Nothobranchius furzeri: one gene and its partners. The protein of the gene in region 1 interacts with the protein of each later gene in a pairwise test. Links are inferred from orthologs where the notes say so. Each region holds a gene or a part of one and is shown in the gene's direction. Other genes may lie near its edges. The genes, in order: pex5, acot8 and ech1.

Region 1 (4,376 bases):
TTCACTGGCTCCCAGTTAAATTCAGGTCCATCTTCAAAATTCTCCTCCATACCTTCAAAGCTATCCACAACCTCTCTCCTCCATATATCTCAGACCTTATAAGTATTCACACCCCGTCCCGTTCACTCAGATCTTCTTCTTCCATCCATCTTGCGGTTCCTTCTGCCCGTCTCGCTACCATGGGGAGCAGAGCTTTCAGCCGCTCTGCTCCTCGACTCTGGAACTCACTTCCCCCAGACATCAGGAACGTTGACAGTTTTACCCTTTTCAAAACAAAACTCAAAACACACATGTTTAAATCTGCCTACAACCTCTGATTTTATTGAAATGTTTCTCTCTGTTTTTTCTTCTTTGGGTTTTATTATTGTTTTATTGTATTTTATTACGTGTTTTGTGTAAAGTGACCTTGGGTGTCCTGAAAGGTGCTTTTAAATAAAATGTATTATTATTATTATTATTACTCACACCTAAGAACAATTTAGACAGACCAATTAACCAAGAGAACCCATGTGTGCACAGGAAGAACACGCAAACTATTTGAGGCCAGGATGTGAACCCAAGACCTTGTAGCTGCAAGGCAATGGTGGTAGCCACTGCACCATTTGTCATTCTTACATATTGGACCTTTAATAATAATAATAATGGTGTTTTCATTCAAAAATCCACAGATATTTTGCATTTTTTAATAATATGAGCGTATTTTCCAGTTTAGTGCATGCTTCTGTTAGATTTAGGAGCTAGAATTTGTTAAATCAGGCTGTTGAACTGCAGGTTTCTTGTTTACAAAAGTATGAATGAGCAAAATTATTATTACCTAATGAGAACTTTGACGGTTGTTCTTTTTTGTATACAGAGCTCAGTATCTCTTTTATTTGTCCAGAACAACCAAAAATGTGAACTCATCTGACCACAGAACATATCCACTGTTTTTTTGTCCATCTGAGATGAGTTAGTGTCCCAAGACCTCATCATTGTTTCTACACAGTGTTGATTTATTGCTTCCTCTTTGCACAGCAATTTTACATTCCTGGATGTAGTCATGGCTTTTGTGCAGTGGTAATGGTTTTCCAAGGGGCCCCCAAGAACACTTGGCTGATCTGATCACTGTAACATGAAGAGTCTTCGTGCTCAAAAGCCTGAGGACTTGAAAACCGTAAATACCTGAATGATGGTTTGCAGGTTTGACCTTTATACTTTGAGACTTTCCCAAACTATCCTTTTCCCCAAATGTTGAAAGACTTGGGTTCTTTGGTCAGCTGCACTGAGGATCTTTATTTTTTTCCACCTGGATATTTCTGACTCCACCCAAGCTGCAAAGACAACCTGTGAGGCTTTTCTTTATATTGGCTGACTAATTAGTCAGTAAATTATTAGTTAAACTAAAAACACAAGATAGGTTTTCCTAAAATAAAAGACTCCACAGAAGGGAACATCTCTTGCTTTTGTTGGACTTTAGTCTCTTGCACATATTTTTACGTAAACGTACGTGCTCTTTTGCCTTTAGAAGCCCGACTTCCACGTTCGTAAATATTTGAAGAATACAACTACGTAGAGTACGTAGAATTACGAGCCTCTTGCAGCTCGGTGAAAGGTTTTGTGGGTCATGGAGGAGGAAGGTAAATAGAAAAGAGGCGCTACTACGAACACACAGCGGAGGCTGTGAGGCGGTGCTGGAGGATTTGTTCTGACCCAGCTTTAGCCCAGAAAGGATCCGGCGAGGACGGAAAACAGAGCGGCGCGGAGCGACTGTTCGGCTACAGCAGGAGGAGCTGTCGGCGGTGAGATGAACATCACGCTACCCCGTAAACACACTCCTCCTCCGGGTGGAGACCTGTGCACTGGCCCTGGGTTGCTAGCTTGCCAACTAACACTTAGCACATCTATTTTAAAAGCTAAATTGTTGCTAATTGTTTTCATCTTCTTTTTAATGTGCTGTTTATTGAGCCCACACGAGGCTACAAGAGATAACAAAGCTAATGTTGTTGCTGGGTCTTTAGCTAGTTAGCGCGTGGGCCATTAGATATCTGAACGCTGACTGACAGGTGTGCACAATTCAAAAACATCTTTTTTATGATTTCAGTTTTTTTCCACAAAAGTGGGCCATCTGTATTAAAACTACAGCATGTCTCTTGAGTAGATGTGTTGTGTACAAACATGTGTCACAGTGGCCTATCAGTGATAATGTCTGTATTAATATCTTTGTCTAAGCCTCTTACTTTGACCCTAATCATAATGCAGCAGCTGTGTGATTCAGTAGGAAAACTCACGTCCACATTCTGCATGAGAGCAGCGACTCCGTCCACCTGCATGGACGGGGTTGTGTAATGCTGTACTTGGTGGTTTAGATACAAAATAAGAGCTGAGTGGAATTAAAAATCTGTTCCACGCATTTCATTATGGAAATTGTTTCACATCCCTCCAGGGAGAGTTGGAGATTTTGAGTAGGCTAAATGTACCCTTTTGTCAGCTGTTCATTCTTGGGCATGGAGATCAGTGATCAGCAGTAGTTCTATTGTTTGTATATATGTTTAAATTGTGCTGTTACTCTTATTTTGGCAGATCAGGTGAGTGACACAAATGATTTACTTATACCAAATAATTCCTATAAAATAACTGTAATCTGTTATTTTTATTTTGCAAATATTGTTGCCCTTTCCTCTCATCGACAATGTTGCTGCTAAAATGAGCCGAACTTACTGGAAGCACGGAGCAGATGATATTTGTGTGCCTCCTAGGCCATTGCTTTCTCATTAGTAACGGTTCGAAAAAGCCAGGAAGTGATGTAAAAAATGACAGATGGGAGTTTAAACTCGTCGATGCAACGTGAAGCCACTTGTGCAGCTTCCAGGTTTCTCTTTTCTGACCCATTCACTGTAAAATCAAAGCAAAAATTATTTGAGTTGTCCTTCGGACGTTTAAAAACAAATCTGCAGTAAAAATAAACCTCCTTTTCATTGTGCTTTGTTCAGAACGTGTCTGTTAAGGTACCACTTGGGGATTTACTATGCGTAGGTACAGAAGCATCTGCAGTCCAGACAACCTAGCCAGCTGCTGTGGAAAATATGTTTTTGATTCACACTGGCCAATGATTTAGTTCAAGCTTGTTTAAAATATTTGAAAGAAATCTGCTTAAGCAGATAAGAGGACGAAAGCGTCACCAAGCATTTGTAACGGTGTTAGATCTCCTGTTATTATTAACCAGCTGTGCTGCACTAACAGCAATGGGGGTGTTACTGTTATATTGAGAAGGTTTAAAACAAACGCAGCAGTAGAAGATTTCCTTCTGTTCGTAGTCCTAGGTGGTGTGGTTGGCTTTGCCTCATCCTTGTGTTGCCATGGCGATGCGGGAGTTGGTGGAGGCGGAATGTGGGGGGGCCAATCCCCTCATGAAGTTGACCAGTCACATGACCAAAGAAGAAGGAGCATGGCGGCACCGCTTGACACCCACAGTGAGTTGTGTTTCTTTTTTTTTATTTTATTTTAATTTTTTTTTGTTTAGCTGCATCATTTATTTATTTATTTGAACTTTTTTCAGATTCCCCCCACACCCATTGAAATTGCAACAGAGGAAGAGGTCGGTGATGTTTTTCGTCAGGCATTAGAATATTATTCTTACCACGTTTCTGATTTCTGGATGTAATCTCTCAAATAGCCACTTTTAGCCTTTTTTTGTGTTTTTATGTTTTAGTTGGTAAATGAATTCCTTCAGGCGCCTCCGCGACCCCCACACACGTTTGACATGGGTCAGTTGTTGGAAGAAATGCAGCAAATTGATCAGCAGAGCTACAGACAAGCTCCACAGAGAGGTATTTCATGTGTATAATCTTTTATCTTATCTGCTTTATGTCCCAGTTTTAAGAAGTTCCCGTGTGTTAATAATGCAAAAACAGTTTTAAGAAGCATTTCCTGGTCTTAGCTCCAGATGTAGCAGCACTGGCCCTCTCGGGTGACTGGGCGGCCGAGTTCCTCTCGGGTCCCGACTCTGCTGCCACACAGGGGCTGAATGCTCTCGGCGAGGCGGCAGATGCTGATTGGACCAAAGAATTTATCGCTGAGGCTGCAGGTAATTTGAGTCTGTGTTTCACTCCGTGCACTCGTTCTCTCTGTTTTATAATGAGATCCGTGACAAATCTGTCTTTTTTTGCTCACTGTTTTTCCTTCTCCTGCTGCAGATCCTGGACGCTGGGCAGAAGAGTATCTGGAGCAGTCTGAGGAGAAACTGTGGCTGGGGGACCTTGGAGACAAGGAGACTGAATGGTGAGAGCAGAGCTTGAATCGCTTTATGAGTGTCGGTAAAGCCTGAGCGCAGGAAAGACACTTGTGGGGGAGTAAAAGCAGAGAGGAGCACGGGACAAAACAAAAGATGGCCGATCTGA
Region 2 (2,899 bases), on another chromosome or scaffold:
CTCTAAGACTTGCCGCTGACTGCTCTCAGTCCCAGGGTTTGATTTGTTTTCCTCTGTTTCCTGAGTAAAAACACTAGAGCAGACCAAAACTGCCAAGGTCATCGTCCTTGTGGACCACAAAAATGTCAGTCGTAGAAACGAGCCATTAACAAGCACGTTCGCATGCACAGACACACTGCAGGAGGTAGCGGGTTGTCCGGTAATCTGAGGGTTGCAGGTTCGATCCTTAACCTGCCTCACCTGATGGTGGTGGTCTGAGGAAACGATGGCGCCAGGGTTCGGCAGTAGGTGGGTTCAGGTTGCTGCATTGTAGCTCATCCCCACCAGCGTGTGAATGGGCACCTTGGGGGGTTGTAGAACCCTAAGAAGGCGCTATACAAACACAGGTCGTTTACCTGAACTGGGCTATGTTCTCTGAAAGGCTCGGTAGAGTCGCTGATTGGGACTTGTGTTTAACACGTGCTGATTGGCTGTAACTCAGTAGGAAGTTGCATCAGAAAACGTCGCCAAAAACCCGCATTTGGAAAATTGGAAGAGTAGCTGGTGAAGAAGAGTGAAAAGAAAACATAAGAGCAACGTTCCCCTTTGTTTAAAATGGCCGTTTCTAAACCCCCAATGTCTAAAACGTGGTGGAACTCCCCCACAGTACTATGATTACTAGGGCTGCACCGATACCAATATCTTTATCGGTATCAGCAAAAGTTAGCCAATACCAGTGCAGTTGCCTGAAATTAGCTTCACTGTAACTTGTCATTTCTGTTCACCTAAAATTTTAGTTTTGTGATCATTTTAATTCATATATTTTATTTTTATCTTCCTCACAGACTTTTCCTGTTGAAAGCAGAGAATAAAGTAAAACCTGTATTCCAGTTCATGGCATTTTTGTATGGTAGAAGTATCAGTAATCAGTATCGGCGAGTACTCAGATCCAAGTATCAGTATCGTATCGGATAAAAAGTGTTATCGGTGCATCCTTGGTAATTACCAGCGCTTTGCTGGAGAACCATAAAAAAGATGCTTTTTCTGATCATGAGATGCTGCGTTTTGCATCACACAGCACTTCTGCCAGTCCCCTGAACAGACTAAATGACTGCGTACTTTGACAAATAAAACCTCTAATGTCATTAATGTCCTTGGATACTTTTTGGCGCTGATCTGTGACATCACTCACTGCTGAAGTAGTCACAATATGCTTACTTCTGTGCAAAGTCCTGAAAGTGCTGCATTTGTGTGGAGACGCACCGGCAGGGAGGACCGAGCCATCCTCTCTCCTGGTCCCTTTTCCCACCCAGAAATATTTCCTCAGCTCCTATGGTGGGAACGTAGCTGTGGACGCATTTAATTATTACACATTTTTTCTCTCAACGAAACAAAACTCGTGTTTGTTTAACACAGTATCACACAACATGTGATAAAAGTAGAAGTCGAGTGCACGGTGATGGATTTGAACTTGAAAGACCTTTTCTTTGTTCTGTGTCTACAGGGAGCAGTAGAGGCCTGGCACAAGGCCGGCTGTGGAGGAGAGATGGAGTCCTGGCTGCTACGTGTTCCCAGGAGGGGGTCCTGAGAGTCAAACCCGTCACACACACCAGCAAACTTTAGCAACACCAGTTATACCGATTATTATTATAACCGCCATCTTTCATTCTGCCAATAACATTTGACAAGATTAACAAGACTATTTAATAATGTCATGATCTGTATGTCTTAATGAAAGACTTATAGTCTCACATGTGAAATTATTAATGATCTCAGTTCCTGATTATGCTGGAAAGACTAACCAGTAGGGATGTAAGAAAATATCGATATGGCAATATATTGTGATATTTTTTCCAGCAATATTATATTGATATTCAAAAGCTGTGTATCGGAAATATCGATATGGCAATATATTGTGATATTTTTTCCAGCAATATTATATTGATATTCAAAAGCTGTGTATCGGAAATATCGATATGGCAATATATTGTGATATTTTTTCCTGTGATTATTACATCGATATTCAAAAGCTGTGTATCTAAATCTTGAAAGAATTTACATGCAAACATTTGTGTATTTTTTTTTCATTTTGTGCAATTCAATCGCCACCCGCTAGTTGGCAGCAGTGTGCAATGGGTTTTGTTTCCACCATTGAAATGTAAATCCCTCCATCATGGTTCAGATACCTCATGTTAAACATGTTACGTATCAGTTTGGACTGTTTATTGAACATTCTTTCAATAAATTCAGTAAAAAAAATTGTAACGTCTGACTGAATGTATCGCAATATATCGTGATATATCGTATCATCTCCCCTGTATCGTGATATGTATCGTATCGACAGAATTTCAAAAATGCACATCCCTGCTATTTGGCCATGGCTACAGATGGGTTTGTCACATGGCCAGTGTTGACTCTGCTAATTGGATGTTATTAAATGTAAAATGGAATGAAAATCTATTTATACAAATGTTTGCATTTGGCAAAAACAAGTTCTATAACTACATTTTTATTTGTAGAGAATATTTTTAAAATGTTTAGGTTTCACTGGCTTAAATCCCTATATTATAACAACCTGCCCTCACAGCCCTCCATTGTTTTGTTTTTGTTAGTATTAAGTAATAATTAAGTTAACCTTTATTCCACTTTCATGGCTAAAACAGTTTTTCTACCAAAGAATTGGATATTTTTTTAAACTTTGTTTACTGAAAAACTCATTTTTGCTGTTTACAAATGTTTACTTTCTAAAATCCACCAGCAGAGAAAAGTAACCTAATTTACATGTTACTGCCCTCTCAGCATTCCATTGGAATGGCTTGTTGTAACAACCCTGAAAATCAACCAGTTACTGTGACTGATGTTCCAGCCAGTTCTCGGGTCATCACATGTTCCACGACCATCTTCCAATCAGCTTAATCTG
Region 3 (2,678 bases), on another chromosome or scaffold:
CTCCGTCATAGAGAAGGTCAGAGCTCCTCATCACATGCATTGGACAAATAATGACGCAGGAATGTTAATGAAGTTATTCTTATCTGCTTGTAGTGTCCAAAGCCTGTTGTGGTGGCTGTTCACGGCGCCTGTATTGGAGGAGGTAGGGCACAAAAGAAATTCTCAAGTGACGTTCACCAAGAAGTATCTTTAGATAAAATACTAAAACTGAGACGAACTTGCTGAAGCCATGATTTGTGCTTCCTATAGGATTCACCTGTTGCATAAACAGATTTAAACACTGAACCACTGTTTTGTTTCTTTTTGAGTCACTAATTTTAAGATAGAAAACGCACAGTTAGCATGATTGAAATGTAAGTTTCATGAATTTGATTTTAGTAGAAGAAAATTAGTCAATGAGTTCAATATTAATGTTTATTTTATTTCAGGTGTTGACCTGATTACGGCTTGTGACATTCGTCTCTGCACCCAGGATGCCTGGTTTCAGGTTAAGGTGTGTTAAGCTGATTTTATCATTTGGTGAAATAAAAAATAAATTAAGACAGCAAGAATTACTCCTTTCCAAAGTTAATGATTTTTTAAACTAATATAAATGTGTAGAGATGTTTCCATAGCACTGGGTTTGTGTATTTTGACTGGACAGGAAGTTGATATTGGACTTGCAGCAGACGTTGGAACTCTGCAGAGACTTCCTAAAGTCATAGGCAGTCGAAGGTGAAACTTAACATTTTAACAAACTGGGGTTATGGTTCTTGTTATTTTCTGTTGAAATCCATGTTTATTGTAATTATCTCTTGCTTTTTTAGTCTGGTGAACGAGTTGGCGCTTACAGCCAGGAAGATGTTTGCAGATGAAGCCAAGAGCAGTGGACTCGTCAGGTAAAACACATTCCTGATTACCAGCAGGATCACACGTACGGGCTAAAATGGACTGCGGTTGTTAGTCAAGTCAGAGAAAATACTGTGTCATTAAGTTGGCTCCCAGTTTAAGTTAGGGTAGACTAGATCTAAAATGAGAAAAAGCTGCAGAAGTCCAACAAAACCATGGAAAGACCTTTAGGGAAATTGATCACTTCAACTGAAGATTAGAGGCAAATTCAACTCCTTAAACTTTCAAACTACAGCAAAGAAACCTTTTTTCCTCCCCTGCAGCCGCGTGTTTGCAGATAAAGAGGCGATGATGGCTGGAGCCCTTGAGATGGCGGGACAGATCGCTTGTCGCAGCCCTGTGGCTGTGCAGGGAACCAAAAAAAACCTGCTCTATTCCAGAGATCACAGCGTGGCCGAGGGACTGAACTATATGGTAAGAGCACATCAGATTAATATCGAGCTACCAGGATTTTTGTAGTAGGTGCTACATTCATTTTTATCAGAAAATTGCTATTCCTGTTAGTTCCTTGTGCTAAAGTTGACTCTGTTGACACTTTTCCAGGCCACATGGAACATGAGCATGCTTCAGACAGAAGATGTGATGAAATCAGCTCAGGCTGCCATGGAGAAGAAGAGTCCCAAAGCAGTGGTTTTCTCCAAACTGTGAGAGCAGCAGCAGGTTCCACCTGTCCGCTGTGGCCTTTGTGTGAGAAGATGAATTGTGTAGTTTTCAGTCTTTACTGGGCTGCTAACACCAAAGCTGAATGTAGACGTGTGTCTCCCATTGTGAACAGTTTGTGCAAAGTAGCAGGAAGCACAAATACCATTTTTACGCACGTCGTAACAAATGTTTTTTTTGGGGGGGGGGGACGGGGGGGACGGACCCCACCTATTTTCTGTTGATTTTTATCATCTTGAATTTAGCCATTTGATTGAATTTGTTAATGTTTTGCAAATCAAAAATGGATTTTCACAGCAAACTGTTTCAATAGTTTATTGATTTAAAAAAAACTAAAGTGAAATAAATTAAATTAAAACACTAAGATAATGTGACGAAGATGACTTAATGTCACTGTCGAGTCTGCTGGGCACGAAGCTTCTGTAACGTTTTCTGTGGAGAGAAAAATTCATCGTCAGCACAAATGTTAACAGGACTGAATTTTTCGGTATAAAATTAAATATTACCTTGTGGAACTCCTTTGCCTTCATCCGGTTTTTGGCATAATCCTCTTGTCTGGTCTTGGTTTTCTGCTGCTTCACCTCCTCCAGCTGCTCATAAAGTCTGCAGAGAAAAGTCTAGATGAATCCTCCTGAGTGGAAGGAGTGGAAGTGAAATTATCCAAATGGTACCTCTGAGTTCTTATGTGCATCTCAGAAAGATTATGTTTCCTTTGCTCAGGTGTGCAGATCTTCACCTTATCTGCATTTTTGAGTCTGAAGTTTCTCACTGAGGGGAAAAACACATGCAAGTTAAAACAAAAGCTGCAAATTAATTTACATTCACAAAAAAAAAAAAGAAAAAAAAGGAAAGGATGCACAGGCATGGTAAAGGAAAACGTGTTTTGTGTCCAAAAGGTCCCTACCTCTGGGTCTTGTGATTTTTTTTCATGGCAAAAGGAAACAATAAAACATGCATTATGTGTAAAATCAGTACCTTGAGGTTGAACATGCGTCTTCGCCCGGGTTTCTGTCTTTTGTTGAGGCTCTGGTGAAGCTTTTTCCACACAGGTGACAGGAAGACCACCACTGGCTTTTGCCGACTCACTTCCTTTAAATGGAGCTTGCCTCTTGCGCTGGCTCTTGGCACAA

The links.
Region 2: the proteins of pex5 (region 1) and acot8 interact in binary tests that used the Homo sapiens proteins (3 or more experiments, as listed by UniProt). The link is inferred for Nothobranchius furzeri from reciprocal best matches to the Homo sapiens genes PEX5 and ACOT8.
Region 3: the proteins of pex5 (region 1) and ech1 interact in a two-hybrid assay, tested with the Homo sapiens proteins (2 studies listed by BioGRID and IntAct, with this or other methods). The link is inferred for Nothobranchius furzeri from reciprocal best matches to the Homo sapiens genes PEX5 and ECH1.

What each region holds. Positions count from the first base shown.
Region 1 is NC_091745.1:74,164,721-74,169,096, forward strand, and holds the start of pex5 (peroxisomal biogenesis factor 5), read left to right. Parts: upstream 1-1,573; 5' UTR 1,574-1,778; intron 1,779-3,293; 5' UTR 3,294-3,335; coding exon 3,336-3,449; intron 3,450-3,535; coding exon 3,536-3,574; intron 3,575-3,688; coding exon 3,689-3,806; intron 3,807-3,916; coding exon 3,917-4,063; intron 4,064-4,172; coding exon 4,173-4,257; intron 4,258-4,376.
Region 2 is NC_091743.1:41,527,167-41,530,065, forward strand, and holds the end of acot8 (acyl-coenzyme A thioesterase 8), read left to right. Parts: intron 1-1,483; coding exon 1,484-1,602; 3' UTR 1,603-2,248; downstream 2,249-2,899. UniProt on the Homo sapiens protein: Catalyzes the hydrolysis of acyl-CoAs into free fatty acids and coenzyme A (CoASH), regulating their respective intracellular levels. Displays no strong substrate specificity with respect to the carboxylic acid moiety of Acyl-CoAs.
Region 3 is NC_091753.1:47,221,828-47,224,505, reverse strand, and holds the end of ech1 (delta(3,5)-Delta(2,4)-dienoyl-CoA isomerase, mitochondrial), read left to right. Parts: coding exon 1-16; intron 17-93; coding exon 94-142; intron 143-428; coding exon 429-493; intron 494-643; coding exon 644-714; intron 715-806; coding exon 807-878; intron 879-1,151; coding exon 1,152-1,302; intron 1,303-1,431; coding exon 1,432-1,536; 3' UTR 1,537-1,938; coding exon of another isoform or gene 1,939-1,980; 3' UTR 1,981-2,054; downstream 2,055-2,678. Other genes in the region: cep295 (serine-rich adhesin for platelets), read right to left, coding at 1,939-1,980, 2,055-2,151, 2,220-2,316, 2,524-2,678. UniProt on the Homo sapiens protein: Isomerization of 3-trans,5-cis-dienoyl-CoA to 2-trans,4-trans-dienoyl-CoA.